Tamandua tetradactyla: one gene and its partners. The protein of the gene in region 4 interacts with the protein of the main gene of each other region in a biochemical or structural test. Links are inferred from orthologs where the notes say so. Each region holds a gene or a part of one and is shown on either strand. Other genes may lie near its edges.

Region 1 (7,277 bases), on a different chromosome or scaffold from region 4:
AACCTGCTAGCCAGTGCTTTTCAATTTGTGGGTCATGACTCACTAGTGGGTCATAACATTAATTTTAGTGGCTCGTGTTTTTTTTTTAAAGTGAAACAATAAAACAGGAAATAGTATATTACATGTAGCATGAGTAATTTATTTGTTGAGAATCTTTTGAGATGTGAGTTGCTTGTGTGCTCTGGCTATGGCTCCAAAGACCCTGCTTTAAGCAACGGAGAGTCCTTGAAACAGAGGGTGGAGGAGGAGATCAGATTTGCATTTAGAAAGAACACTAGGGTTTTAGAGCTCAATGGAAGACTTAGGAGTCTGCTGATACAATGAGGAAGAGGAAGGGTAGATGGAGGTACTATATCCTCTCATGGGGACAGTGAAGGATAATGGGTTTGGAAGGAAAGAGAAATCGATTTACAACAAGTAGAGCTTGAGTTGCCAGTGGGTCATTCTGGGTGGATTCAGAGAAGGAGCTGGGGTTGAGGAGGGAGACTTCAATTGAGTATAAAGACTTGGGAGTTCTCTGGGATGAGGGAGAAAGGTACAGAAGTACTGGGGGTAGGTGAGATGTCTAGGAAGCACTCATGAAGGAATGTGGGCTATCCTAGAGCAAACACTTAGACATGAGATAGGATGTAGCCTGTGATCCAAATATAATCTGACAAAGCTCGTTATTCAGCATAACCCAGGGCAAATTCTAATTATGTTTTAGAACCATGTAATCTCTGGGTTGCTTTTTTTTTTTTTTTTTAAACTCTCTGGGGTTTGATGACCTTAAAGCTCATGTAGGTCAGTGGTTCAAATCTGTTCAAATCTGTTTCAGAACAATTCAGACAGCTTTCTGAACATATGGATTCCAGGGACCCACATCAGGCCAAATCAAAATATCTGAGACACCGGAGGATCTATATTTCAGAAAAAGCCCTCCACACACACACACCCCAAATTGGTAGTCATTAAAAAAAGAACTCTACCTGCTGATATTGAACTATACCCAAGATACACAAAGTAAAAAAGAGTGAGGTTCAGGATAGTTTATAATAAGCTATTATGCATGTAAAAATAAACTGTGTGGAGAATATGTACCTATACTTGTTAGCATAAGCACAGGCTCTAAGGGATAAAAAAAAATTGACTGCAGCGCTGACCTATGGGGAGGAGACAGGGCTGAGGACAGGGAGGAGAGGGAGACATTTTACCCTAGGCCTTTGTTTGGTATCACCTGGATTTGTACATTGTAAATGGATTACTTACTCAATAAATAAATAATTGCATAAAAGCTAAAGTTCCCCAGATGATTCTGATGTAGGATCAATATTCGAGAAAACCTAACTGTAGGTATCCCTCCTCACTCTGCAACATCTAGGACAGTGGACATACAGCCTCCTGGATTGCTCATTTCACTTTGGAAAGCTCTGTTAGTTCTGACTTGACTTCTTGGTGCTGATTTTAAACCTTCTAGCCTCCAAGGAGGCTCATGCTGAACCGTAACCATGCAGAAAAATTCCAATCTTGCTACCAGCAGAGTTGTGTGAAAGAAGAATGGGCATGTGTAAAATACTGAATCAGAGAAAGGATGTTTATTTCTCTACAGAAAATAAGTCTTATAAATTGATGGAAAAAGTGCTTTTTGTTTGTTTGTCTGTTTAGCACTGGGAATACCTATTTCAAATAAACTATACACGGCATTGCAATATACAATGCAGATTAAAAGGCCAAGCTGCTATGGTATGACAGGGAGCAACCCCTGATTGAATAAGGAGTCTGGAGCCCTGCTGGGCTTAGTGGTTCAAGACACAATTGTGGTCCATCTCTCATATCACCCGCATGAAGGCATTAACCCCTCCCCAGTTCAAGTTACCATTCTATTTTACAAGGACTGTTGGGAATCCTTTCCACACTCTACCTTTGCCCTTTTTTAATCCATTCTCCACTCCCAGGGTTATCTTTTTAAAATGTAAATGCAAACCTTTTGATCTTTTTCCCATTGCTCTTGGGGCAATGTCCAAATTCCAAAATGTGGCCTATAAATCTTGCCCACTTTTCCAACTTCCTCTCTTCCACTTGCTCTCTGCCAAAGCCACACTCAAGGGGCTCCTTACAGCCTCAGGGCCTTTACATAGGGCCTGCTCCTCTGCTCAGAAAGTTCTTTCCCCCATGAAGACTTATCCTTCTGATCAATTCCTCAGGGATTCTCTGACACATCAGACTAGATCAGATTCCCTCTCAGACACCCTCAAAGCACTCACACTTTGTCTTTGTAGCACTTAATCAGCATGTACTGAGGGGTCCCCTGATGCAGGCATGGCCTGAGGTGCTGCAGATACTACAGTAGGGAAAAGGAAAGGTAGGGTCTCTGCCCCTACTGAGTTTCTAATCAATTGGGAGTACTCAACCCAATAAAATAATCATAGAAACAAATGTAAAGGTGTGAGGAGTGCTCTTCAGGAATGGAACAAGGAGCCTAGAGGGTGGAGATAACAGAAGAATCTATCAGTCAGGGCAGAGCTTACCTGAGAAGGGGAAGGAGGCAAGGAGGGCCTTTCACTCCTGTATTTGACCACGAAATAAATACCAGTTGTACATTTACAGTGAATGTACACACACAAAAAAAGTTGAAAATGTTGACAGCTTTCTTTAGAAGTGGTAAGATTACAGATGATTTTTTAAATTATGCTTATTTTCTAATTCAATCATGATTTTGCATTATTTGCAAAAGTTGAAAAGTTTTTTAAAATAAATCTTTAATTGTAGTTCTTGAGCAGAGGTAATGGGCATCATCTGTACCAGACATTAAAATCCCCTACACAAATATGCAATCCCAAATAAGCAGATGTGCTCTAAAAATGCTGTCTCAAGACAAGTTCTTCCGCACTTGATTAATGCACATTTATTAAAACCATTCTAGGTACCACCGCTGGTGTAGCGGCCATAAAAATAAATACGGTCACCTATAAAGTGGCATAATGATTCCTATCTCACAGAGTTGTTTTAAAGTCGAAATGAATAGAGGAAAAGCATTGGAACAGTACCTGGTACACAATAAGCACTATATAAGCACTAGCTATTATTACTTTTACTAGTATTGCTATTTACCAGCTCTCATTTGGTAAAAAAGGGCTAAGGATAAAAAAATTACTCTAAGAGAACACAGAAGGCTTATAATGCTGAGGCCTGCAGCCCAGTGTGGTCGAAAACCTTTCAGATGAAGCTGACATCTGCAAAATCATGGTGGTTGAGGGGGTTCCTAGCACCAGAAAGTGAGGGAATGAGGCCTGTTTTAGAGTTGCTCTATCAATTTTAGTTCAGTCACTCAATTCCCTCCCTTGTTATAAAGCTGGGACACAGCGGCGCCTGAGGAAAGGAAAGAGGTCGAGTAAGGCTGGGTCTTGCCTAGTCGGCCAGACCTCCAGAAGCTCTGGTCTGATTTCTCTAGCCTCTACATTCCCCCGGGGCGTGGGGTGCGGGGCGGGGGCCAGGGACAAGGTCGACGCGGCCTAACGAGGTTAAAAGATACAGGACTGCCGCGCGGGCCGTGAAAGGACGCTGTTGGGCCGGAGGGGCCAGGAAGAACTACACTTCCCAGCATTCAACTCGGCCGGCGCCTCGCAGAACCTGTTGGGAGTTTTCATTGACCTTTGCTCCCCCTCTCGTTTCAACCCGCCCCGGTCTCCTCTGGGCCCCGCCCCTTTCTGAGAGCGGGTGACCTCGCAAAGCCCCGCGACCTGCTTCCTTCCTCCCCTTTCATTGGTCCAACCTAGCTGCCAATCGAGAGCAAGAAGGAGAAGTTATTTACTGATTGGTGGATACCGTTTGGCGCCAACTAGGAAAGGGAGGCGGGGCAGCGGCAGACCCCAGAGAGCAGCTACTACTGCGAAAGGCATCCTCCTCTGTGGCAGTCCCGGTAGGAGGTGAAGGTCTGCTTCTTGTTTAGTGACTCCGGGTTGGGCAAGGGTGTGAGGAAAAAAGAGTAGTGTGTGAGCCCAGGCCGTTGCCTCGCGGCTCTCTCTCGCCCTCCCTTTCCGACACGCAGCGTTTGTTTGAATTTAATCTTAAGATTGCCGGCGCCCGCCCGCCCGCCGGCCTCGCGGAGTAAGGTTGGGGACACCCGTGCTTGTAGCTGGCACCTGCCTGGTCCAGACACCCGCCCGGCCGCGCCGCTTGCCGGCGGCTGGCGGCCTCCCTGAACCGTAGGGTCGTGTTTGTGTTTGACCCACAAGTGCCGGCGGCGGGTCGCGCGGCGGAGGCCGGTGCCGGCGGGGCGAGGCGGGCGCGGTGGAGGCGGAGGAAAAGGGAGCCCTGGGGAGTCTGGGCGCCGCCATGGAACTGGGCCCGGAGCCCCCGCACCGTCGCCGTCTGCTCTTCGCCTGCAGCTCCCCTCCAGCACCTCCGCCTGTAGTGAAGGCGCTCTTCGGTACGCCTGCCGCCGGAGGGCTGTCGCCTGTCACCAACCTGACGGTCACCATGGACCAACTGCAGGGGCTGGGCAGGTGAGCAGGGGACCAGCGAGCAGCACCCTAGGCTGCGGGCCTGTCGGGCGGCCCTCGGGGAGATTAGCTGGAAGAGAGGCGCGATCAGCCCTCCTGGGTTCGCCGCTCCGGGGCGGCAGGGCCTAGCTCCGGTCCCGCCATGTGCACTCTCCCCACGGGCGGAATGTTGGGCGGGAGAAGCCGTTCGGACCCTCCAGGGATCCCCTGAGCCCTGAGCCAGGCCCGGTAAGGGGTGGGGAAGCCCCGGCCTTCGCTACCTCTTTTTGGTTACCCTGTACCCCGCTTCTCTTACCTCCCTATTTCAGAAAGCTCTTTGGAACCTTTCCCGAAGGGGCAAAAGCATGCCCTCCTGGGCGCCACTTCCACCGTTTGCTGAACCTCGCAGGATCTTAGTTTCCTGTGAGCTTTGTTCCTTCCCAACAAAGGGACCTGGCATTTTCTTTCCTGGAGTTGGTGCAACATCATCGCAGTTCTTGTCCCATGCGCATTCTTGATGGTCACTCCTTTGCTTTCCAAGGCCAGGCTTTTACCCAACCTCTTCACTGAAAACTCCCGGGATTTTCCTTATAGACCAAAAAAAAAGGGCCCAACAGTGTTTCTGGTGAAGCTGCTTTTTCTCCAGTCTTGGGCACCCTTCTTTCTGTCTAAATACACGTCTTGTTAGCTTCGCAGTCTTTGAAAAGCAAGAACTCTGTCCTATTCCTTTTTAATCCCTACTCCTAGTACAGTGCTTAGAACGCATGTTCTCATTTCAGGAACTATTCCAGCGTTTGTTGTAGTCATATCATACGGTGTGGTCCATATGCACCCACAGCTTTCTACGTTCCTTTTATGCTCAAATGCAAACTTGGTGCTCTGCGTGGAAAAATAGGATCCATGTGGTGTCATGCAAGTAATGGTGGTTCGTGACAGTCTGGGCATTTGCTAATCTTGTGGCCTGCCCCTTGTATTTAATCTTTAATTAATTCCTAGAAATAGTTCATGTAGAATGATTTTATCTTGGTTGCAGTGAGTATGAACAACCTGTGGAGGTGAAGAACAGTAGCAGTCTGCAGAGAATGGGCTCCTCCGAGTCAACAGATTCAGGTATTCTTTCAGCCTTCAGCAAGCATCGTGTGTATGCTTGGGGGTGTGGGGAGATAGATGGTGAGCAACACAGGGGGTTTGCTGAAACAATGATCTTTTACCAAGGGACTTCGCAAATGGTATTAAGAACAATTTGAAGGAACCCCTGTGTCAGTTCATAATGAGAGAAAACAAGTTTAAGTGTTTGCAAGCAATAGGTGTGGCTGGGTCTTCAAAGATGAATAATATGAGCACTGTACCACTCTAAGTGACATTTAGAAAATCTCATTGATTAAAATGTGGGATTGGGCAGTGCAACTGTAGCTCAGTGTCAGAATTCTCACCTGCCATGCCAGAGATCCAGGTTCGATTCCCAGAGCCTGTCCATGATCCCCGCCCCCCCCCCAAATGTGGTATCAAATTATTGGAAGTAAAATGAAATGGAGTGAGTTTGCTCTGGAGGAAAGGTGCCAGTAATACGTTTGGTGTTACTCTGGGATTTATCTATATCTGCACAGACAAGAACATTTGGGGCACAGCTTTAGGTTAGAGGACTCAAGAGCAAATGTCTTTAAATGTAGGGTTCTTGAGAACTGGGGAAAGAATTATTTGTGGCAGTGGGGCAAGCAAGAATACCAATCAGGAGTTGACACCTAGTTTTCCTATGAGACTTAGATGTCAGCAGGGACAGAGGTGTGCACTAAGCAGGCACTGTTGGGTTTTGGCCATTCTGAGACTGGCACATGGTAACATGAGTAGGGTCTTCTTTGCCCTACTGTCCTTGGGGAGATGGACATCCTCCTCAGTGCCATTCTGTTGAAATACATGCCTTATGTGTCATATGACTTATGATTTATATTTTCCACACCAAATTTATGCATGCGATCTGACAAGATAAAATATTCAAAATAAAAAAAATATCCAGAGAAATCTGCCAATTATTTTTTCTATGGTTGGAACTCAGGGAAATTTACCTGGGTCACCTTTATCTGAATACTAAGCAGTCATGATGTGAATTAGTTTAACTCACCTCCTCAACTCCTATTTCCCATCATGGTAATTGCAAGTAGAAGAGAATCAGTAGATAAACTCCAGTCAAATAAACTGGGCTTCAATTCTGGCAAAAGTACAGTTTGAGGGTTTTTGTTGACTGAATTAAGAAACCAGATTTATTTATTTTAATGATAAAATAGTGTTTCATGTATGATTTCCTGGGATTTAAACACTTTGAAAGCATAAGAGACAATATTTGAAGTGGAAAAGTGAGATTCAGCAGGTAAATGGAAGCTCCTGTCAAAGGAATGAGGAATGTTTATAGAGTAACTTGAGTTGCAGAGATTGATGGCAAATACAAGCACTTTTTTTTTTTTAATTTCCCACAGGCTTCTGTCTGGATTCTCCTGGGCCCTTGGACAGTAAAGAAAAGTATGTATTCACTGCTTTTAAATGTTTGTGCTTAGGAAAAAGTTTTTTTTTTAATTTGTAAATGAAATTCTCACTCTCTGGCCTGGAGCCCTGGATTGAGCAGTCCCTATCAGATTTCCAGATCCTATAAACAGTCTGGTATCTTTTGAGGAGTGATTTATGTCAACAATTTACAGAACCATCCCTCCTTTATTTTAGCTTGTAATTCTGGTATTCTGATCAGGTCTCACCCAAACCCCTTCACTCTATGTCGTCATAGCCTTGAAAACATTTGTGTTTTAAGAGATCTGGGTTTGTTTTTTT
Region 2 (7,662 bases), on a different chromosome or scaffold from region 4:
CTGCAAGTAACAAAAGTCGAATGAGCTGTTGTTTAAGCCACAATGACATTTGTTCTTCACTGAAGTCATCCAGAGGCTGGATGGGTTTGGCAGTTCAGCAGAGTTTTCGAGGATTCAGCTCAAGTGATTGCCCAGCTATGCCATTATGTCAGTTTGAAAGTATTTATGTACCCCAGAAAAGCCATGTTTTAATCCTGATTAAATCTTGTGAAGGCAGCCATTTCTTTTAATCCTAATTCAATACTGTGGGGTAAAACCTTTTGATTGGATTGTCTCTGTGGCGATGTGGCACCTCCAATTGTGGGTGTGACCTTTTGATTCGATGGAGCTGTGACTCCACCCATTCGAGGCGGGTCTTGAATAGTTTACTGGAATCCTTTAAAAGAGGAAACATTTTGGAGAGAGTCAGAAATGACAGAGCAGAGCCAACACAGAGGCTGACAGTTGGAGAACAGAGACATGATGTTTGGAGATGCTTGGAGCCCAGCAGATGTTACCATGAGATGTTAAACAAGCTGGAATCTGGAGAGAGCCAAGGGAAGCCAAGAGATGAAAGCCTGCCCCAGAGAAGCAAAGTGAGGAACCCCCACAGGAACAGAGGCTGAGCGCAGTGGAGCCCAGGAGCAAAGGACCAGCAAATGCTACCCATGTGCCTTTTCAGCTGACAGAGTGTTCCAGACCCACTGGCCTTTCTTGAGTGAAGGTACCCTCTTGTTGGGGCCTTAATTTGGACACATTCATTTCCTTATAACTGTAAACTTGTAACTTATTAAATTCATTTTTAAAAGCTGTGCTGGTTTGAAAGGATGCATGTTCCCTAGAAAAGCCATGTTTTAATCTAAATCCCATTTCATAAAGGCAGAATAATCCCTATTCAACACTGTATGTTTGAAACTGTAATCAGATCATCTCCCTGGAGATGTGATTTAATCAAGAGTGGTTGTTAGGCTGGATTAGGGGATGACATGTCTCCACCCATTTGAGTGGGTCTTGATAAGTTTCTGGAGTCCTATAAAAGAGGAAACATTTTGGAAAATGAAAAAGATTCAGAGCGAGCAGAATGACATAGCCACGAGAAGCAGAGTCCACCAGCCAGCGACCTTTGGAGATGAAGAAGGAAAATGCCTCCCAGAGAGCTTCATGAAACAGGAAGCCAGGAGAAGTTAGCAGATGATGCTGTGTTCGCCATGTGCCCTTCCAGCTGAGAGAGAAGCCTGACTGTGTTTGCCATGTGCCTTCTCACTTGAGAAACCCTGAACTTCATCAGCCTTCTTGAACCAAGGTATCTTTCCTTGGATGCCTTTGATTGCACATTTCTACAGACTTGTTTTAATTGGGACATTTTCTCGGCTTTAGAACTGTAAACTAGCATCTGATTAAATTCCCCCTTTTAAATACCATTCTGTTTCTGATATATTGCATTCCAGCAGCTAGCAAACTAGAACAAAAGCCATCCATTTCTGGTATATTGTATTCCAGCTGCTTGCAAACTAATACACCCATCTTCAGTGTATTGGTGACTCTCTGCTCATTAGTGACAGGAGGGCTGTACAGGTGTCAGCATATATCTTCACATTAGAGCAGCTGAACCCTGAGAAAGAAGCAAGTGGGGTAGGCATAGGAAATTGTCTCTTCGTTTGGCAGGGGTTATCTACAGTGGGTTCATATTGCAGTGCTGGCAATGTGACCTAAGTGGGAGCTGGCTGGAGGTTTCTGTAAATGTTTTCCCCCTCAGTGGAAAAGGCTGTAATAAGGAGGAAGACTTTCTGACGTGAGAGGCTTAGGCCAACCCTAATTTATCCCCCAGAGCTGCCCAAGTAAAATCAGATTCTGGTGACTAGGAAGAAGGGATGGCATTCAGATAAGGGTGGAGGAGATTCCTGGTTTTGCACCACACCCTTCTGCTGCCTTCCATCCTAGAAGAGGTAAAGTTAAGCACATAACCAGCCAGTTAGATGCTACATTGCCCAGCCTCCCTCACTGTTAGAGAGGGTCATTGGCTAAATACTCACAAATGGATCAGGAGTGGAAATAATGTAATCACTTGTTGTTCTTATTAAAGAAAATTGAGTTTAAAGAAAATTGAGTGTCCTGGTCTTCAGGCCTTTCCCTTTTCAGAGCTGGAATGCTGATGTGCCTGCAGCAATGTGAATGAGACATGAGAATGGTGTGACAATGGGTTGCTGAATGAAGTGCAGGAGAGCCACCCACCTACCAGGTCCATCTCCATCTGACTTGATACAGGAGAATGAAATAGACATCTCTTATCTCCAAAACCACTATACTTTTGGTCCTCTCAGAATAGCATAACTAATTCTGTAGGCAGTCAACAGTCTCAGCCATAACCCCATCCCCAACTGTCCCCACTCTGGCTTAGGCAGCATTCTGTCTATATGAATGAAGACAACACTAGCCTCTAGGCTCCTCCACTACCCATTCATATCCCATTGCCAGCCAAAGTGATTCTTCTTAAATGCAATTTTAACCCTGCCACACGCCTGCCAAATTTTTCTGATAACTTTCTGATACCTGTAGAATTAAAGTCCTAGCCCTTTAGCCATGACCTGGCCTCTGTGCAATTGTCATGTCATGAGCTGCACCATGGAGAGGCCTCATGGCAAGGAAACAAGGGAGGCCCCACCCAATGGCCAGTGTGGAGCGGAGGCCCTCACTTCAATACCCTACAGGGAAATGAATCCTGTCATGTGGGTGAGCTAGGAAGTGAATCCTCCCCCAGCTGAGCCTTCAGATGAGACAGCAGCTCCAGGCAGTATCTTGACTGTAGCCTGGTGAGAAACATCAAGTCAGAGGTACACAGTTAAGTCATACCCAGATCCCCAATCCACGGAATCTTGGGATAACAAATGTTAATTGTCTTGAGCTGCTAAATTTGGGGATAATCTGTTACACAGCAATAGATAACTAAAACAATCCCATCCACTATCTCTTCTCTAGTTTTTCCCTCAGCATTCCTTTGGCAATTCCTTCCCAGCATCCTTTGTTGGTGTCCGTCAAGGTTTAAAGCTGTAGATACCCCAGAAAAATATACACTTAAATCTAGTCCAATCCTCCGGGTGTGAAGCCATTGTAAAAGTAGGGTCTTTTGATCAGGCTATTTCAGTTAAGGTGTGGCCCACTTCATTCAGGATGGATCTTAATCCTACTACTGGAGTCCTTTATAAATGGAATTAATGCAGAGAGAGAAAGAGAAAGCCATAGAAGCAACAAGCTGAAATCAACAAAACATAGAAGAGAAGGGAGAGACCAGCAGATGCCACCATATGCCTTGCCGTGGTTCAGCCAAGGATTCCTGGCAACTGGTCTCCAGGAAGAAAGCATTGACTTGATGATGGTTTGATTTGGGCACTTTCTTGGCCTCAAAATCTGTAAACTAATAGATTCTTATCATTTAAGCCAACCCATTTCATGGTATCTGCTTTAAGCAGCCTAGGAAATGAAAGCAGTATCTATTAACGGTTGGGGCTTCTTGAAGAAGGCCCAGTCTTAGGCCTTCTTCTCTCCTCACTGCACTCATTCTCTGGATTATGCAATCAGTCCCAAGCCCTCTATAGCTTTATCCCGTCTCCTGATTCCCAGACCTGAATATCCAGTGGCTTCCACTCAGAACCCATGTGGAACACAGCCAGAAAACAAATTAATCTGCTGCCCGCATCCCCAACCTCACTTCCCCAATTAGCTTGTCTTCCTCCCGTGTTCCCCATCTCAGAGATTGAGCCTCATCCTCCTAGTCTCCTAGGCCAGAATCCTGGTGCGATCTTGGATCTCTCCCTTTGGCTGTCCTTTAGCATCTTTTAAACACCTCTTAGATGTTTCCTGTCCTCACCATGTCTCCTGCCCCTACCCTGGGCCTAGGTCCCATCTAGAGGAGCTTGTACACAGCACAGAGCACCTGGCCAAGGCCGCTGAAATCCAAGCCCTGCCTCTGCTCACCAAGTGAAGTGCCTTAGCCAAGAGTTGCCTGTAACTGGAGGAATAAACTGGAGCAGCTTCCTCCCTCATTTGCCACCCTTCCGTCTGGTCGTGTCCATCTCCACCCTGTATTAGCCTGAGGGGGGTTTCCTAAAGCTCGCTTCTGTCTCACCTTGCTCTTTTGTGGCTCTCCATTGCCCTCAGGATAAGATTCACATTCCCTAGGCAACACTTACTTTTGTAAATTGTGCGCTCTAATCTCAAATCTTGTCTCTTCCTGAGCATCCCAAGTTTTCACGCTGTCTCAGGCTTATGTCTCTGCACATAACATTCTTTTCTACTTGGAACATCCTTCCTGCATCTTTACTCCCTTTGTGGAGGACAGATCTACTAGATGCCGCTTCCTACAATGCCAGGGATCTTTTCTGTGCTTTAAATACTGGGCCTTAGAGCTCTCAGAGAAGTTGTCCTCTACTAAAACAGTCAGTAGGCCATATAAACAAGCTCTGTTGAAGGGATCAGCCACTCAGACCCCAAGTGCCTCTTCTATAAAACAGCCAGAACTTGACCAAGGCTCCAGTTCACCCACATCCAAAACCAGGGGCTAAACCGCTGCGAGTGGGCACACTTGGCTGCGCCCTCTGGAGGCGGGGCCCGCAGGCCGGCGTGGGCGGAGCCGGATTCGCTGGCCCGCCCCTCGCGCGCGCCGGCGGGACGGAAGTCGGCGTCACGACGCTGTGTTCATTACTCCCGACGCTTCCCGGGCTCGGGTGGGTCACGTGAGTCACTTTTCGCGCGAAATTCGGCGGCTGCCTGAGGAGCGGGAAGGAGCACGGCGTCGCGATGGCGGTGAGCTGGCCCGGGCGCGGCGGCGTGGGGTGGGGCGGGCACTCCCCGCGCAGGCTGCACGTTTGTACGGGCTGTGCCGGGCGGAGTGTAGACGTGCGTGGCTTGTCTAGTCCTCAGGCGCGCGCCCTGCTCCCGCCCCGCTTCACGGCCCCGGCGAGTTCCGGTGGTCCGGGCAGAGCTTGGGAACCCGCTTCTCTCTTTTCCTCCCCTTTTCCGCGGTGTGAAAAGCAAGGGGGCCCCGCAACTGTCCTTTTCCTTCGCAGCAATCTAGGCTCCCGAAGCCGAGCCCGGCTGGCTCGTGTCCTATCCTTTACTCCGCCTGCGCATGCTTACTGGGCGCCATCTCCCTGCCTGGTCTTGGGCAGACGCCAGACTAATTGTGTTGTACTGTTTTATTGCCCGTCCCCGTCAGTCTGTGAATTCCAGACCTGGTATATTTGGGTTGCTGTTGTAGCCTGGCACTTTGTGGGGGCCCAAATGGGTCGGATGCATGCTTAAAAAAGGTGAAAACAGACTATACCAGGGCAAATAAACAAATGGCATAGCACGAGTGATTTCTCAGGTAAGCAGTATCTGAGCTGGGTCCTGGATGTTGAGAAGCCAGTGGCTTCTTGAGATCAGGGGAGAGCCCTGCAGACAGAGGGAATAGGAAGTACCAAGGTCCTAAGACTGGCAGGGGGCTTGGTGTGTTTGAGGACAGGGTCATCAGGACTGGTGAAGGGAGAGATTGGTTGGAGATCAGATGGGAGGGGAAGGTCACCCCTTAAGACAGAAGGGAGGCTGTGTCAGCCCTCATCTCACCAGTTTTTAACAGCAGCAGCTTTTCTTGCAGGAGTCATCTGAATCCTTCACAGTGGCATCCAGCCCAGCCCAGCGTCGGAGAAATGCTGATCCTCTTACCTCCAGCCCTGGCCGAAGCTCCCGTCGCACAGATGCCCTGACTTCCAGCCCTGGCCGGGACCTTCCTCCGTTTGAAGACGAGTCCGAGGGGTTACTAGGCACAGAGGGGCCCCTGGAAGAAGAAGAGGATGGAGAGGAGCTTATCGGAGATGGCATGGAGAGGTATCTGAGACCTTGGACTCAACAGATTGCTTTGTTTGCAGAAAGCCTATTGTGTGCCTGGCAACCTTTCTAGCATCAATTAAAATCCTTCTTTGCCCTTGCGCACAGCTCGATCTAGGGTCTAGGGGGAAACTAGACAGATTCATGGAACCCCAAAAGAGGTCCATTTAACTCAGAAAGGCTAGACCCTAAGGCCTCAGTAAGCCCCAACTCCATGAGGTCATGGGGAATGCAGAAGGGCCACAGCAGGAGGTGCCAATTTAGTAAGTGGGCAGCCACGTGTTTCTCTGCTGCTTTTCAAAGAAGCGGTGTGATGTGGGTCCAGTTAATCAAGACTTAGCTTTGTTCTAGCAAACGTTTATTGGGCCTACTCTACCAAGATGTGAGTTATATACCTTCACATTTATTATCTCATATAACCCTCATAAGAATAAACATGTATTAAAGGTCATTGAGACTTAATATTAAGACATGGTGGAGTAAGCGCTGCAAGTGAGAAGGTTAGATCTCTACTCCTAGCCTGTATTCACTGCTTGGATTTGGTAGATACTTTAGTATCTTTAGAATTGTGTGGTTGCTCAGGAGCCTCATGTGAATTCTCCTTTTGTGCCTATCTTTACCCTCACTTTGGGGGTCCCAAACTTAGTGGATGTGAGACTGCTATACGGGCCATGGCACAAAAGGTGAATGCTACTCTTTATGAGCCATTTAAGGGATTTTCATAGGTACCTTGGCCATATAGGGTTTTTCCTTTAAAGACTTCCCGTAGAACCTTACACAAGTATGTGTTCAGCCCTAGCCAGCCTATAGGAAGGAATAAAGACTCTTTGGAGAAATCTCCTGGACCTAGGGACAGGATATACAATATGGGTGGCTTCCCTGTTGTAGGCTATGGAGTTTTCAGGCAGGATGCCCCTCCCCAGCCTTCTCTCTCCTGGCCTTTCTCTTTGTTTCTCTTTCCATGTTTCATGGAGAGTGAGAGACATTGTAGGGAGCCTCAGGATAGAGGCATCTAAGCTGGCTGCCGTTGAGTTAGGTTTTGGGTGTGTGTGTGTTTGAAACAACTTTATTGAGGTGTAATATAAAATTCACCGTTGTAAATGTTGAGTTCCATGCTAAGTTGTGCGACCACCACCACAATCCAGTTAAAACATTTTTCCATCATCCCAATGAAATCCCTGTGCCTTTTTTACAGTTAATCCCCCACCCCTACTCTAGGCAACCACTAATCTACTTTCTGTCCCATAGAGATTTGCTAGTTTGGCACATTTCATATAAATAGAATCATATAATAATGTGGTCTTTTGTGACTGGCTTCTTTCACTTAGTGTAATTTTCAAGGTTCATCATTATTTAGTAGCGTGTGTTGGTACTTCATTTCTTTTTATATATTTATTTTTGGGGGTGGATATACCATATTTAGTTTATCCATTGATCAGTTGATGGCCATTGGGGTTGTTTCTGTTTTCTTTTTTTTTTTTTTAACTGTTAATGAATAATGGTGCTATGGCTGTTTGCCTTTGAGTCTTCCTCTGAACATGTGTTTTCATTCCTCTTGGCTATATACCTCTTGGCTATATCCCTGGATCAGACGGTAACTCCGTTTAAGCTTTTGAGGAACTGCCGGACTGTTTTCCAAAGAAGCTGCACCATTTAGCAATCCCATAAGCAGTATATGAGGGCTCCGGTCTTCAACACCCTTTCCTAACACTTGTTATTTTCTTTTTGATTCTAACCTCCTGGTGGGTATGAAGTGAAGTTTCATACCACTTTTGATTTGCATTTCCCTAGTGACTAATGATGTTGAGTGCCCTTTCATTT
Region 3 (7,477 bases), on a different chromosome or scaffold from region 4:
TTTCATAAACAGACTCAAAACCCAGAAATCACACAGGACAAGACAGACAAATGTGATACAATAAAAATTTCTATATGGCAAGAGCCAAGAAAAATGTTCTCAGAATATAAATCAGGACAGGGTTACTATCAGTTATATGAAAATGCTCCTATGTATCAATAAAAAGACAAAAACCGAATAAAAAATGGTAAAGTTTTAAATAGGTAATTTACAGAAAAATTCAAATTATTAATAGACATACTAATATAACCAGGGAAATGTATACAAATACATCTAACTGCCTTACCCTAGACCAATTAAATAAGAATCCCTGGGAGTGGGATCCACGTACTTTCTAAAACTCCCCAGGTAATTTCAATGTGCAGCCAAGGATAAGAACTCTTGTTCTAAAACAGTTCTAACTCAAAATGTGGTCCATGGACTAGCAGTGTCAGCATTACTTAGGAGCTTGTTAAAAATGCAAATTATTGAATTCCTTTTCAGATCTAATGAATGAGAATCTCTTGACTTGAGACTCAGGAATCTGTTTTAACAAGCCTTCCAGGCAATTCCTAAGCATGCTGAAGTTTGAAAACCCATACTCTGTAACCTCTCCCCTTAATTTTCATGTATATCACAGTCACTAGGAGTATAGCATCAGATGAAACAGCTGAAAGTATTTTGAGAAAAGCAAAAATATTGATTGCAAATGCAAATAATCCTTATTATTCCCATAAATCTGATATAATCTTAGGGTCATACTTGACAAGGAAAATGACAATAATTCACAACTAAGATATAAATATCCCAACTCAAGGGAAGTAGTCCATGTTATTATTTCTGAATTGCCTCCAAATACAGTGGAGTTCCAGTTTTATAATATATCCTCAGTAGATGTGAAATTGCCACAAAGATAGGAAGAAAAATGACTTAACTTTAAAGTTCTCAAACACTATATGCGTTCCTTTATTAGAACTAAATGTTTTTCATATTAGATTTTTGCAGTATTTCTACTAAACAGGCCAAATGGATTAGTGCAGTTATGTTGTGTTTAATCATTTATTCTACTTTATTAATTTAAGAATGTTGGCTTGTGGCTATGTTGGTCTATTATTTGAGGCTTTTTCTAATGAAAAACAACAGACGTGTTCCTTTCTTACCCATTAATCTATGCCTGACAATACTCAATACTTATTCAAGCTAATGAAGCAGGCAAATGGCATGATTATATCTGGGTTTTGAAAAGGTTGTTTTGTCTGCTGTGTAGAACAACTCCACAGTGATGCGTGTGTGTGTGTACGCAGGAGGTGAACATGGAGACCCATTCAGGTATAGAGAGGAACTTGTAAAACTTCTGGTATTTTTAAAAGATTTCTATTTTAGTGTATACTTTATGATGTACATTAAATAGCAAAATCTTAGACTCTATCATAGACACATTATGACAGAACCTGCACAACTAGCCCTCCAGTTTAGGCATCCAGCCAAGGACAAGTTCATCTTGGTCTCAGCTGGGTTGCAGTGCCACCTGGTGGTTTCCCGCCCTAGTTTACTCATCAGTGGAGACAGGTCTACACACACGGCTGGCTGGAACTTCCTGATCTGGGACACTGCTAGCACCAGCCAAACTGAACCATTCATCTCTCCCTAATAATGCTCTTTACTTTTTATTCACATTGCTGCCTCTAATTAGACTATATTACTCTTCCTCGGTCACTGTCTCTCCAAATCCTACACATCCTTCAAGTCCTATCTCAGATATGGTTTTACCTTTTCCTGGAGCCCCTTTGCATTCCACCTCCTCTCTCCATTGGAGAAGACATACCCTTTTCCTCTTCTATATATTTCATTGTAACCTGTTTATATCTCTTATGCATTTATCAATTTTTGCTTTACTTTTAACTTTTTGCATTCTTACTAGATTGTACATTACTTTGAGATTGACTTTATCGTCCTCTTCTTTGTATCACAGTAGGATCCAGGCAGTACTTTTCAGAAAAATCACTTTTTGAATTAAATTGGATTATTTAATTTCCTATTATTATTATTCTATTACTTCAACATTCGGGGATTCATAGTGTCTTTTAGAATTATAATGCTATTCAGCTATTGCCTTTCAGATAAAATAGCAATTTTTATAATCTTTCTTCATATCTAAAATAGCTAATATTTATTACTTTTTAGTTGATAAAGTGTTTTATATGTTATCTAACTTAAGCTTTTAAAAATATATTTGTGCCAGTTAGAATCTATTATGTACCCCAGAAAAACCATGTTTTAATCCTGATTCTTATCTTGTGGGAGTGGCTGTTACTTTTAATCCTGATTCACTTTTGTAAATGGAAAATTTTGATTAAATTACCCCCACAAAGATGTGTCACGCCCAACTGTGGGTGTGACCTTTTTTTAGATGGAGATGTGACTCTGCCCATTCAAGGTGGGTCTTGATTACTGGAGTCCTTTAAAAGGGGAAACATTTTGTAGAGAGCTCAGAGCAGAGCTGACACAGATACAGACACTTGGGGAACAGAGACATGGGTGTTTGGAGATGCTTGGAGCCCAGCAGACGACGCCATGAGATGTTAGCAAGCCAGAACCTGGAGAGAGCCAAGGGAAGCCAAGAGATGAAAGCCAGCCCCAGAGAAGCAAAGTGAGGAGCCCTCACAGGAACAGAGGCTGAAAGCAACGGAGCCCAGGAGCAGGGGACCAGCAGATGCAGCCACATGACTTCTCACCTGACAGAGGCGTTCCTGACCCATCGGCCTTCCTTGAATTAGGGTTATCTTTCCCAGGATGTCTTGCTTGGGCATTTTTACAGGTTTAGAACTATAAACTTGTAACTTATTAAATTCCCCTTTCTAAAAACCATTCCAATTCTGGTATATCACATTCCGGCAACTTACAAACTAATACATCCAAAAAATGTATACATCCTAACCATACAAAGAATAATATAACATAACAAATATAATGTTAAATTTGCCACATTTACTGAAGAGTCTGTTAAAACCTTCACAAATAGTTTGTCTCAACATTTCATTATCTCCCTTTCTAGAAATACCACTATGAAGTTGATGTATCCTTCCCAACAATGTTTCTATACTTTTGTTATATACGTATGTATACATACCCTGAGCAAGGAATTATTTTGCGCTTTAAACAGTGTACAGGAGTGATATAATACTGTTATGTAGTCCTTTGCAATTTGTTTTTTCACTCACATTATTTTCAGAATTCATCTATCCAAGTACAACATAATTCATTCAAGAAATGGTATTCCACTACACGACTTTAATTTTTACTGCAGTCTCATGAGTTAGATTATTTATGGGTGAAATAAAGTGGAGTGCAAAGAGATGAAATAGAGTTTCATCTCTATAGCCATAGAGTTTCTAGCAGGTGGAATGAGGAGTTGTCCAGGGCTTCCAACTCCTAATCCTATGTTCTTTCCACCACAGCACTCAAATACTCATTCAACAAACCCTTGTTGAACACCGGCTACGTGCCAGACACCGTTTTAGGTCCTGGGGACCTAGCAGTGAACAAAACAGACAAAACTCTGTTTTCAAGGAGCTTATATTCTAATTGCAGGAGACGGTCAATAAAATCATATGCAATATATCACTTGGTTCTGGGCGCCCTGAAGAAAAACCCCGCAGGTCCGCGGGAGCGAGCGTGAGCGCGCGCACCGGCCGGCAGGGGGCGGGGCTCTGGCGACGCCGACGCAGACCGGGGGGAGGGGCGAGGGACCGGCGCCTGGACCCGGGCATGGGCCGCGACGCCAAGGCCCCGAGGCAGGCGCACACCCGGTCGTCCCTCTCTCCTTCCATTTGTTCGCTGCTGTACCGACATGTATCCCCAGGCCAGAGAACACAAGCGAGCACGCTGCACGGCTCCGCCTGGTGGAATACACGGTTTTGCCGTGGAAACAGCCTCTGGTAACGGTCCTCTCTCAGATGACCAAGCCGGGCTGAGGGAAAAGTGTCGAGAGCCAAAACCCAGTGATTTACTTTAAAAGTTAAGTCATAGGTATCCGAGGCCCAGAACGGCGACACAATAATACGGCTAAGGTTTGAGGAGATATATAAACACAAACCAACCCCAATTTTAAAAATTAAAGGTTGTGAGAATCCTCAATAGACGTAACTTTAAATGGAAAAAACCTGCTGAAGTATAGAGAGGAGCGGGAGGAGCCCGCCTTTCCCCCGATTCCCTGAGAAAGGTCGTCAAGGGAGTGGAGAAATGAGGAACCCCTAAAACCTGGGGGCAGGTCGGCGAGGGCGTCTGGGTCGGAACCGCCAAGCCCCCGGCCTCCGGGGCCGCGGGGCCTCCCAGCCCACGGGGCAGCGACCCGCAATTCGGAGCCCAGACGCTCGGACGCGCAGACCCGCGCAGCGCCGGGCTAAGCGCGAACTATCGCGAGACCCGCTCGCCCGCCGCCGGCCCCGCCCTCCCCGCCCCTCCCCCCCGAGTCCTACATCCGCAGCAGCTTCGGGGAGGAGTTTTGGGCCCCGCGAGGCACCGTCGCGTCTTCCCGCTAAAGGTAGCGGTGGTGATGCCAGGTCCCCGAGTCGGCGTCGTGGACGAGTAACGCGCGGCTTCAGCATGGGCGAGCCCGGCCTGGAGTTGGCTTCCATGATCCCGGCCCTGCGGGAGCTGGCTAGGTAGGACCAGGCTTGGCCGCTTTGGGTTCCCGTGTCCTCCCCGGCGGGCCGGCGCCTCACGTGGTTCCCCTCTCTGGCGGCGGCCCTGCCCCGGCCCTCTGAGCACCCGCTTCGGCCTTTGTGGAGACGTTCGGTGACCGAGCTGGGCGCCTCGCCCTCAGAGGCCGGACAGAGGACGCCGTGTGTCCACGCCGTCCGCGGAAGCCGGCCTGAGGAACTGAAGGCGGCTGCCCGCACGCGCCCGGCCCCACGGGGGTGTGTCCGCCGCCGCCGGAGGAGCGGCCCCCGTGGTCGCTTCTGGTCACTCTTCTGAAACCCGGTCGCTTTCCGAAAACCTCTTTCCTTAGTTAAAGGGCCTTGCCCAACACCTTCCCCAATATCTACTCTTAGGTTCGCTCCTGGAGAAGTTAGTATGTTACCGTCTTGTTCCAGAACTGCCTTTGGAAGAAGCATCAGCGGCTCTCATTTTCTGCAAGGACGGTCACTTGTTAACAGCGTAGTTCCTTTCTTCAGAGTGAAGTCGTAAGCCATTCTAGAAGATGTGAGCCCCTTCGTATCCCCCTCCGGTCCCCCACGCCATTATTTTACTCAGGCCGTGGAAATGCCTGGTATCTGAAGAAATCCGACGGATTGGCCAGAGCAATCGCAAATCTAAACTTTCAGTGTTGCATAAATTTGGAGTAAATTTAACATTATTTCCAGAGCAATCGCAAATCTAAGCTTTCAGTGTTGCATAAATTCGGAGTAAATTTAACATTATTTCCAGAGCAATCGCAAATCTAAACTTTCAGTGTTGCATAAATTTGGAGTAAATTTAACATTATTTCATTTGCAAATTTCTGTTTCCTGTTAGCGCTGCAGTAAAGTCAAGTCCACCGGCACCTTAGCGGTGGAGGGGAGAGGTGCTGGTAACCGCAGTCCCCCTGGGACACGTTTCGCAGGCTTCCCAGCTCAAACAATAAGCCTGAAGAGCCCAGGCAGCGGGTTTTGTTCCTGTGTTTACCCTGCCAGTAAGAAGGCTGGTGCTACTACCCCAGATGAGTTGGGATAATAATTTCTTCCCAATTTCTTTAGGTGTTTGAAACCTTTCCATACAAAGTGGAAACTAACATTAAACCGGTGGAATAACTAATTCCCTTTCTTTTTGCAGTGCAGTCGTGTTTATCTCCACTTGTCTACCTTGCAAAGAAATTTAGTCTTTCTCAGTTACATAAATTAGAGGACAGATGAAGAAACCTACATCATTCTTGTGCCAACTGCATCACCCTGTTTTCTGTGTGTGAAATTGTTTCCACTTTTGGTGAATGTTGCAAGTATGCCTTGTGTTAAACAATGTTGCAAGTATATTTTGAGTTAACATTTTGTAAAGTAACTTCTTGACTAAAAGAAGATTCATAAAAGTGCTTCTTTAGGAAGTTGTGCAGATTTCATTTTTCAGACTTACTATTTATGAAGCTCAGTATATTTTCCCCATCTTGCTTTAATGTAGAATTAGTTGGTTAAACTTTCCTTTTCTCTCTTCCTCCATAAGATATATTAATACAAATAATGGTATCTTGGATTTGCATTTGTCTGTTTCTTCAACAGAATGTGTTACCTTTCATTTTATTTATTTGTAGCCATTCCAAAAGAAAGGATAGAAAAACTGACTTATGAATAATTGCCTAATACTTTTAAATTATCATGTCTGTTTTATTGCAATGACTTCAAGCCTTTGCTATTACTAGCTGTGTGACTTTAGGCTAGGTATATAATCTCTGTGAGTAGTATTAGTCTTCTCCTAGACAGTAGTATCCTTATCTTGTTGCTTGTGAATATTAAATGAAATATCATAGACAATATGTTTTAGCCCACTTGCTGGCACAACAAGTCTATATCTCTAAAATAGACATTTCTTGTGGACTAGAACTGAATTCCAACTATCTCTTGGACATCTCCAATTAGTTCCCCCAAATCAGACTCAATATTTTTAAAACTGGATTCCTTTTTCTCCCCAGACCTGTGTTTTGTCCTGTATTAACTCTCGGTGAATGGACTCACAGTTCTCTCTACCCCACTTAACATTCTACCCCACTGTGTTTTTCATCTTCCCACTAGAGGCTCCTACTGTGTTGCCTGGCACATGTTAGGTGCTCAAAATGGTTTGTTCAAGACTTAGATGACTATATGTTTCCTTATACTATGTGATAGCAAACAGATTTTCTACTACGTTCTGTGTTGGTTTAAATTAAAGAATGGAGCTCAAGTTGAATTCATTTAGGCTTGTAGGGTACCATTCCTTAGCTTAACTATTATATCTGTTCCTAATATATATTTTTAAAACTCAATATATGTGTTTTTTCTTAACTTTTTAAAACTTTCATTGTGGAGAATTTCAAACATTTAAAGGAGAAAAAATAGTGTATGTATTAATTCCCCTTCTACCCATCACCCAATAATAATCAATTCATCATACTCCTATTTGCAACTCAGATTACTTTGGAGCAAATTCCAGATATCATTTCATCCATAAATATCAATATTTGGCTTTAGAGGATAAAGACTTAAACATAGTCACAATATCATTATCACACCTACAGAATAATAGTTCCTCAATAATATCAAATATCTAGGCTGTTTAGATTTTCCCAATTTTACTTTTGAAGCAGAGTTCAATTTAGGATCATACATTGTAATTGGTTGGTATGGCTCTTAAGTATTAGTTATAGGTTTCTGCTCTCTTCCTTTGGAATTTATTTGTTGAAGAATCAGGGTTCTAACAGATTTTCCAGATGTCTAGATCGGTACCATCTGATAGAAATATAATGCAAGCTACACATATAATTAAAAATTTT
Region 4 (7,762 bases):
TGTCTCACTGTACTTTAACAGAAAGAAACTTTAGCAAAAACAGTCTTAAGTTAAGAGTCACGAGTCCACTACCACATGATACTTAATAATTCATTTCCCTATTTGTAATATGGTGAAATATATCAAGGGAAAATTATAGAGAGATTATAAGCTATTGTCCAAATTAAGAATGTAAACCATGCTTAGAAAGCCTCTGCTTACTCTTAGCCTGATTTATTATCCCTCAAATCCTCCCTCAATATCTTAATGATAGAACAATATCTTCCCCACTCCTGAAATCTAACTGCCAGTACAGAAGCCTGGGAAAACCTAAGCCAATTTCACTAAAAATTTAACAATAGACTTAAAGTACATACCACCTCTCCTATCCTTCAGGAACAAAGTTTTATTCACAAATGTTCTTTTTTATCATTTTATATTTTGATCTCCCTCATTAACTTCTGATTTAGTTTACTCTCAACTCTCTCCCAAGATACATATTAGAAATTACAGTAATCAAGTATTAATACAGTTGCTTTGAATAGGTCCACAGAATACATTTTATGTAATTATGTGCTCTGTAGTAATAATCCTTTGAATCAACATAGAACATATAAGAACCAATTCAGAATTTACTTAACATATATTTTTTAATCCTAGAAGGTTCTCAGTTATATTACTTAATAAGTATGTTAAGAAGAAATCTAATAATATGCTATTATTTTGGATCTTGGGATGTATGCAATGATTTCATGAAACCAGAATGCTACAAAGAAAAAAAACTGGGTAGGCAATAAGACATTGCATTTATGAAGTATATAATTTTTAAACTCTATAAAACGGTAATCCCAATCAAAATCACAAATATGATGTGCAAAAAAAATTTCTTTCCAGTGACTTTATATACACTTATATTTTAAACCAAAGTCAAAAAAAAAACAGGCTAATTTACTCCAATTTCAAGGTTACATAAGCACTTCTGAAAGAATGACCAAATATCAGACCCAAAATTTAAACACAAATTTTGAACTTTGTTTAGCAGAATAATTATCTTGAGTTTTTAGAAGATTGATTTGGAACACTATTTTACCATACCTATTCTATCAAAAAGTTCTCCCCCACTGCAATACTCCAGAAATAGATACTGGATGTTGCCTTCTCTCCTGTGACCATAGAATTTCACTACATTCTCATGATTTAACATTTTATTGATACAGATTTCTTTCTTAATATTTTCTGGACAGTCTATAGCACGCTTCATGTCTACAATCTTCACTGCAACTGCTTCTTCAGTTCTTCTATTCACAGCAAGTTGAACTCTTAAAAAGGAAAAGAAAGAGTTATAATATTCCAAACATTTGTATTATAGCCCTTTTAAAACCTCAAAAGATTAAACATGACTCAATCCAAAACTATTTTATCTTCATTATTTTCTTTACCAAGGAGAAACCAAGGAAAAAGTTTCTGCCATGCTCTCAACAGATATCATTCCTTTCTGAAATGTGAAGTACTATAAGTCATTATACTATACAGGCAAGTCATTTAATAAACATTTGATAAAATAAATTGTGATAACAGCACTTCTAGGCCACATCACCTATATACATCTTTTATCTGTTTAATTTAATCACATATCTAACACTTATTAATCCCATACTATATACCTCTGGCAAACTATTCTAACCACCTATTGGGTAGGTTCTATTATTGCCATCTAATAGAGGAGGAAAAAGAGGCACAAAAAGACATTCAGAAGTTTGCCTAAGATTACGCTACCATGACCAGTATGTGATAAAGGACTACTTGACACCAGGCAGTCTGTCTCCACAGTCTGCTTATTTGCTCGTTTAACCATTATGTTTACAACCCAAGAAGGAACGTGTGAAAGGGGAAACAATGACTTCAGAAGTCTCTTCCAACTCTTAAAGGAACTTTTTTTAAATGGGGAAAAAAAAAAACACTAATCCTTACAAAAGATTTACAACATCAGTTTCCAAAATTACTGGCTTTTAAATGTAAAGGTGTGTTTTCTAAACACGACTGTATTATTGTAAACAACTCCAAGACAAGGAATATGTACTCAAGACAACAGACAGAAATACTAAGCAGGTGTGCAGGTAGGGTAAAAGGACTCACTCTCCGTAGGCACCTTCTCCCAGAGTTTGCACCAAATCCCAGTCTTCCACAAAGGGAACTGCCATGACTCCAAGGCTGTAAAAGGTAGGAAAGATGGAAAAAGTGTGAGCTTCAATCACCTGTAAAGTCACTGAGCTCTCACCTGGCCATGATTCCCCAACTATAAATAACAACTCTTAGTTTTCCCTTACATCTCATCCAAGTTTTATCTAAGTCTTTAAACTACAATCAAATTTTCCAAATTTAGGCACTTTGTTGGGTAAATCACAACCCCACCCCACCGCCATTTCCACGCAAACTGAAAGCTGAAGCCCCGCCTTTCTCGGATCCTAAAGGAAATTGAATAGAGGAGCTGGGGAACCGGGCAAAAAATCCCTTATGGTGAAGAGATTGGGGAAGGGAGTAAGAGAGGTGAATACTGAGGAAGAGAGTAAGAACGGTAGATTTGTGTCCGCGTAAAGAACAACTCTGACTACTTCAGCCCCACCTCCCCCCTTGCTCAGTACCAATCCCACCCTCACTAAGTCCTAAGGGCCGGGAGGGGCTCGGGGCGGGGTCAAACCGTTCGAGGAAGCGGAAGGAAAGAGTGGGACACCGACGGGCGGCGCCCAAACCTCTGGGGTTCCCAATCAGCAGAGGAACAGTCTCTCATGTTCCCCTCTACTATGAGGACCGCCCCCCAACTGGTACCACCCTCCCAAACGACTAGTCCGCGGGAGTTGTCTCCGGTCCCCCTCGCTCTTCACCGATAACTGTCTCTTACTGTGCCTCTCTTCATTAATCTAGACCCCGAGCTTCTCCATCCTCCTTATCCACCCTATCAGCCACCCCTCCTCACCAGGTTGTCCTTTAGCCGCCACCACAGGAATCTGAATGCAACGCTTTTCCCGCCAAAACTTGTAGCGTCACACTGTCGTAAACGCGCGCGCCCCTTGCCGTAGAGCAGGGAAACGCAGATTACAGTCTCTGCGGTTATGAAGATTGACCGGTGCCGAGAAGTTTTCCTTCCCAACTCTAGCCGGTTGCACCTCGATTCCTTTAGGGTCGGGGAAGATCTTAGCTGAGGAGATTTAAAGACCACTGGCTGGATCAGAGTGAAATGGGTGGCCGGTGTGGGAACCTCGGCTGGGGCGGGGCCGGTGGGCCGAAGCGCCTCCCGAAAAAATACTCCGTGCTTGCAGGCAGCGCCCTGACCCCGTGGGACCTGGAAAGGCTGACCGAACTTGCGCGACCCTACAGGCCGTGACCTCTGAGCATCCTACCTGGCTGCCCCACGAGATGGTGAGGACCGTGTGCTACTAAGCAATGCACAGCGCTTTGTAGACGTTCAAGGGCGGTACCGATAATTCTGGAGCCCCGAATCTTGACAGCTGTTGAAAATTGATATTGTGAAGAATGAAACGTATTTTTGCGGAGTGGGAGAAAAGCATCAGAAATGGCCACACAGGAGTTGGGGGCAAGGGTCTGGAGGAAGAAAGTTATTCTTTTGTCATTTGAAGGGATGTCAGGAAAACCAGTGTTCTTGTGTATTGTCAGTGAACAGGTCCCAAACCATACCCGCGTTAGTCCAACTACTTTGAGGCAAAAATGTCTGCATAGCTTAGTACTTTGCGTTCTTAATGTGTAAGAACTAGGCATGTAGAAGCCGAAAAGCTGTTGCACCAATGGTCTAAAAAATGATCATGGTAATAAATGTACAACTATGTGATAATATTGTGAGCTATTGATTGTACAGCATGTTTGGAATGTTTGTATGTTAAGAATTAAAATTAAAAAAAAAAAGCTGTTGGGCGAGCCACGGTGGCTCAGCAGGCAAGCATGCTTGCCTGCCATGCCAGAGGACCCAGGTTCGATTCCCGGTGCCTGCCCATGTACAAATAAAAATAAATTAAAAAAAAAAAAAGCTGTTGCACCATATTTTACAACGCAAATGAAAAGGGTAGAGTAACCATTTTAAGTAGGAAAGTATATTCTGGGCAAAGGGACTTGCTTGAGAAGCAAAACCAATCTGAAACTGAAGTAGGTGCTTACCCTGCCCAGCCCACACAGTAAGCTAGACTAGGAACTGGAGGCACAAATATCATCGTCGCCATTAAATTCTCAAGTCAAGTATTTGGCCCAAATTCTCAAATTGGGCCAAATACTCTTGGCATAACTAGCTATTGACTGTGATACTGTTAATAAGGTAAAATATATTACATCAGAAGTACACACATCTTAAAAAAAGTGCACACATCTATTTGAAAGATCAAAAGTCAAGAACAGAACACTTTATAATGCTTATGTATGAAGTGTTAACCATGATATCACAGTTTGGGCTTTATGTAATAAGTTTTTCCAGTTTATTTTCCCCCTTTTTTCTAGTTTCCTCACTGAACTGCAAACAGAATATTATGAGAGAGAAGGACATGCACAGCTCCTCTGAGTGTGAATGAAATTACACTATCTTTTTAGCCTGAAAAAAAAAGAGGAATACAGATTTCAGGCAAGAATACCAGTTAAAGATAGCATATGAAAGAATGAATATACACAATACCCTCTGCTGCCTTCTGAAACCTTACTAAAATATTACTAAAGAGTAAATTTTTAAAAGACAATAACCCACAAGAATGAAGAGTATGAGAAAAAAAATTTTATAAAGTGGAAAGCTTTTAAATGCAAGATAACTTACATGAAAACTTAATCACTCAAAGCCAGCAGTGAGAGAACAGAAAAGCAACTCTATACCACAGAATTTCCAAAAGCTCAAGAATTGTTGATACCAAATAATTCAGAATGTAGAGGTAAAGGTATGGCTAAAAACTAGGTTGAAAGATTGTAAATAAAGCAAATAAATCCCTAGATTTTGTTCTTCCTCTTGTACCCAAGTAACTACCCCTCCCCAAAGCTGATATAAAAAAGAGGGTAAATGGGTGGCATCTGACCTGGGAAGCATCAAGCACCAAGGTCTTACTGAAAACAGGAGGATTATGTTTAGACTCTTGGCCTTTTCTCACCCTATTCCTACAAAGCTAGTAGCCTGGCTTATATCCTTGAGTTAGGAGATAGAGCTTTCTCAAGGGAACCTTACCGGTGTAAGAGAAAAGATCTGGATCCTATACCAGGGATCCCCATTCTAACAGCACAGCCAGATCACAGGAGGGTGAAGCCTACATTCAAAACAAACACCTTCCAATCAGCTTTTAGAGTTCCACTCTTAAAAAAGAACAAACAGCCAAGAGTTTGAGAAAATTTTTAATATTAAGGATGTCAAAAATATTCAAACAAAGCTCTTCAATATTAGAAATATGAGAGCAGAAAAGAAGAAAACTAAATAGATTAGAAAATTAAGGAAATCTCCCAGAAAGAATAGAATTTGGAAAACAGCAAATATAAAAATATTAAGTTGATGATGATTGAACAATAATATAGCTTTCACAATGTGACTCTGATTGTGAAAACCTTGTGTCTGATGCTCCTTTTATCTACCATATCAACAGAAGAGTAGAACATATGGAATAAAAATAAATAATAGGGGGAACCAATGTTAAAATAAATTTAGTTTGAAATGCTCGTGATAAATGAAAGCGAGAGGTAAGGGTTATGGTATGTATAATCTTTTTTTTTTTCTCTTTTTTATTCCTTTTTCTGTTGTCTTTTTTATTTCTTTTTCTAAATCAATGCAAATGTTCTAAGAAATGATGAATATGCAACTATGTAATGATATTAAGAATTACTGATTACATATGTAGAATGTAGTGATATCTTAATGTTTTGTTTGTTGTTAATTTTTTTAATTAATAAAAAAAATATATTAGGAGACTAATCCAGAAAATCCAAATAACTGTTTTTGGGGGTAGGAGGTGGGGGGATTGGAATTCAGAAATAACTCAAGAAAATTTCTCAGAACTGAAGAGTCTGCCTTCTCACAATGAAAAGTCCAAAGTACTAAGCACAATAGATGACCTGCTCTAAGACGCATTATTGGGGAAACTTCAAATCATTACAAAGAGAAAATCCTAAGAGATCTAGGTTGGGTGTGGGGAGGAATGGACACAGACAAAAAAACTAAGAGTGGGAATAGCATTGCATTTCTCTAACATTTGGAAGATATAGAAAACAGTGGACCAATGCCTTCAAAACATTCTAAGGGAAAAATTATTTTCAACCTAAAATTCTATACCCAACTAATCAAGCATGAGAAGAGGTAAGCAAGAGCTCAAAATACTTTTCTCTACACACTTTCTCAGGAAGGTATTTAGAGGTGATAAATTTATGGGATTAACACACACATATAGAGGCAGTTCAACAAAAATTAGAAAGAAAAAAAAAAAGACCAGTATTATTAAAGGAATACACCAAGACAAGAGGTATGCAGCAAACCTAGGGTAAATGAATCCAAATAGAAATATAGCAAAACATGAAACATCTTTAAGAATGAATGCCTAATGTATTTGAACTATTAAAAGAGGGTTGGCCTCAACAACAAAAGAACAAACAATCCAATTATAAAATGGGCTAACGATATGAATAGGCATTTTTCTGAAGAGAAAATACAGATGGCTCAAAAGCACCTGAAGAGATGCTCATTTTCACTGGCTAAAATAGAAATGCAGATCAAGACTACATACAATGAGATACCACCTCACACCTCTAAGAATGGCTGCTATTAAAGAGACAGGAAACTATAAATGTTGGAGAGGATGTGGAGAAATTGGGACACTTATGCACTGCTGGTGGGAATGTATAATGGTGCAGCCACTATGGAAGACTGTTTGGTGGTTCCTTAGGAAACTAAACATCGAGTTGCCCTATGACCCAGCAATAGCACTACTTGGTATATACCAGAAGAGCTGAAAGCAATGACACAGATATTTGCACACTGATGTTCATAGCAGCATTATTGGAGCACAATCACCAAAATATGGAATCAAACCAAATGCACACCAACAAATGAGTGGATCAACAAAATATGGTGTATACATACGATGGAATATGCAGCAGTAAGACAAAATGACGTCCTGAAGCACATGACAAAATGGATGAGCGAGGACATAATGCTGAGTGAAATTAGCCAGATACAAAAGGACAGATACTGTTTGATTCCACTTTTATGACCAGCATAAAGGTATAATCAGAGGCTTATAATACAGAATATAGGGGACTTAGAGATACATAGAAGCTAGAGATGGGTTAACCGTCAGCTAGTGAGGTTGAATTCCAATGTAAGTGAATAGATAGGAGCAAAGGTGATTCTCTAGTGGGTCTAGAAGTATTATTATCATACTGAAGATGAACAAGATTGAAAAGGGTTGTATAGACCTATGTGTCCCACTGACTCCCACTAGAAACATGAACGAGTTTTCGTAAGAATTAAAGGATTCGATTCTTGTATAAATAATGTTCAAGTCCAGGGTACAGGGGGGAAACTGCTATTGCATGCTATTGAGCTATGTTCAAAAGCAAACCATCATGGAGGTAGCTGAAAGATGCATTGACAGAGAAGTAGAATAGCAAACTGTTGTGTATACATGATGGAATATTGTGTGGCTACAGAGAAGAGCAAAGTCATGAGGCATGCAAAGAGGAGAATGAACTTTGGGGACATTATTTAGTGAAAAATAAGCCAGAAACAAAAGAACAAGTATGTATGGTCTCTCTTAGAAAA

What was found.
Region 1: of the proteins of CHEK1 (region 4) and CDC25A, one has a biochemical effect on the other in vitro, tested with the Homo sapiens proteins (7 studies listed by BioGRID and IntAct, with this or other methods). The link is inferred for Tamandua tetradactyla from reciprocal best matches to the Homo sapiens genes CHEK1 and CDC25A.
Region 2: the proteins of CHEK1 (region 4) and MCM2 form a complex in vitro, tested with the Homo sapiens proteins (2 studies listed by BioGRID, with this or other methods). The link is inferred for Tamandua tetradactyla from reciprocal best matches to the Homo sapiens genes CHEK1 and MCM2.
Region 3: of the proteins of CHEK1 (region 4) and ATR, one has a biochemical effect on the other in vitro, tested with the Homo sapiens proteins (7 studies listed by BioGRID, with this or other methods). The link is inferred for Tamandua tetradactyla from reciprocal best matches to the Homo sapiens genes CHEK1 and ATR.

What each region holds. Positions count from the first base shown.
Region 1 is NC_135341.1:38,163,559-38,170,835, forward strand, and holds the start of CDC25A (M-phase inducer phosphatase 1), read left to right. Parts: upstream 1-4,260; 5' UTR 4,261-4,314; coding exon 4,315-4,484; intron 4,485-5,493; coding exon 5,494-5,570; intron 5,571-6,931; coding exon 6,932-6,974; intron 6,975-7,277. UniProt on the Homo sapiens protein: Tyrosine protein phosphatase which functions as a dosage-dependent inducer of mitotic progression. Directly dephosphorylates CDK1 and stimulates its kinase activity. Also dephosphorylates CDK2 in complex with cyclin-E, in vitro.
Region 2 is NC_135335.1:30,176,859-30,184,520, forward strand, and holds the start of MCM2 (DNA replication licensing factor MCM2), read left to right. Parts: upstream 1-4,651; 5' UTR 4,652-4,773; coding exon 4,774-4,779; intron 4,780-5,611; coding exon 5,612-5,841; intron 5,842-7,662. UniProt on the Homo sapiens protein: Acts as a component of the MCM2-7 complex (MCM complex) which is the replicative helicase essential for 'once per cell cycle' DNA replication initiation and elongation in eukaryotic cells.
Region 3 is NC_135341.1:86,773,857-86,781,333, reverse strand, and holds the start of ATR (serine/threonine-protein kinase ATR), read left to right. Parts: upstream 1-4,462; 5' UTR 4,463-4,584; coding exon 4,585-4,643; intron 4,644-7,477. UniProt on the Homo sapiens protein: Serine/threonine protein kinase which activates checkpoint signaling upon genotoxic stresses such as ionizing radiation (IR), ultraviolet light (UV), or DNA replication stalling, thereby acting as a DNA damage sensor.
Region 4 is NC_135334.1:11,927,696-11,935,457, forward strand, and holds the start of CHEK1 (serine/threonine-protein kinase Chk1), read right to left. Parts: upstream 3,020-7,762; 5' UTR 2,954-3,019; intron 2,191-2,953; 5' UTR 2,181-2,190; coding exon 2,116-2,180; intron 1,299-2,115; coding exon 1,075-1,298; intron 1-1,074. UniProt on the Homo sapiens protein: Serine/threonine-protein kinase which is required for checkpoint-mediated cell cycle arrest and activation of DNA repair in response to the presence of DNA damage or unreplicated DNA.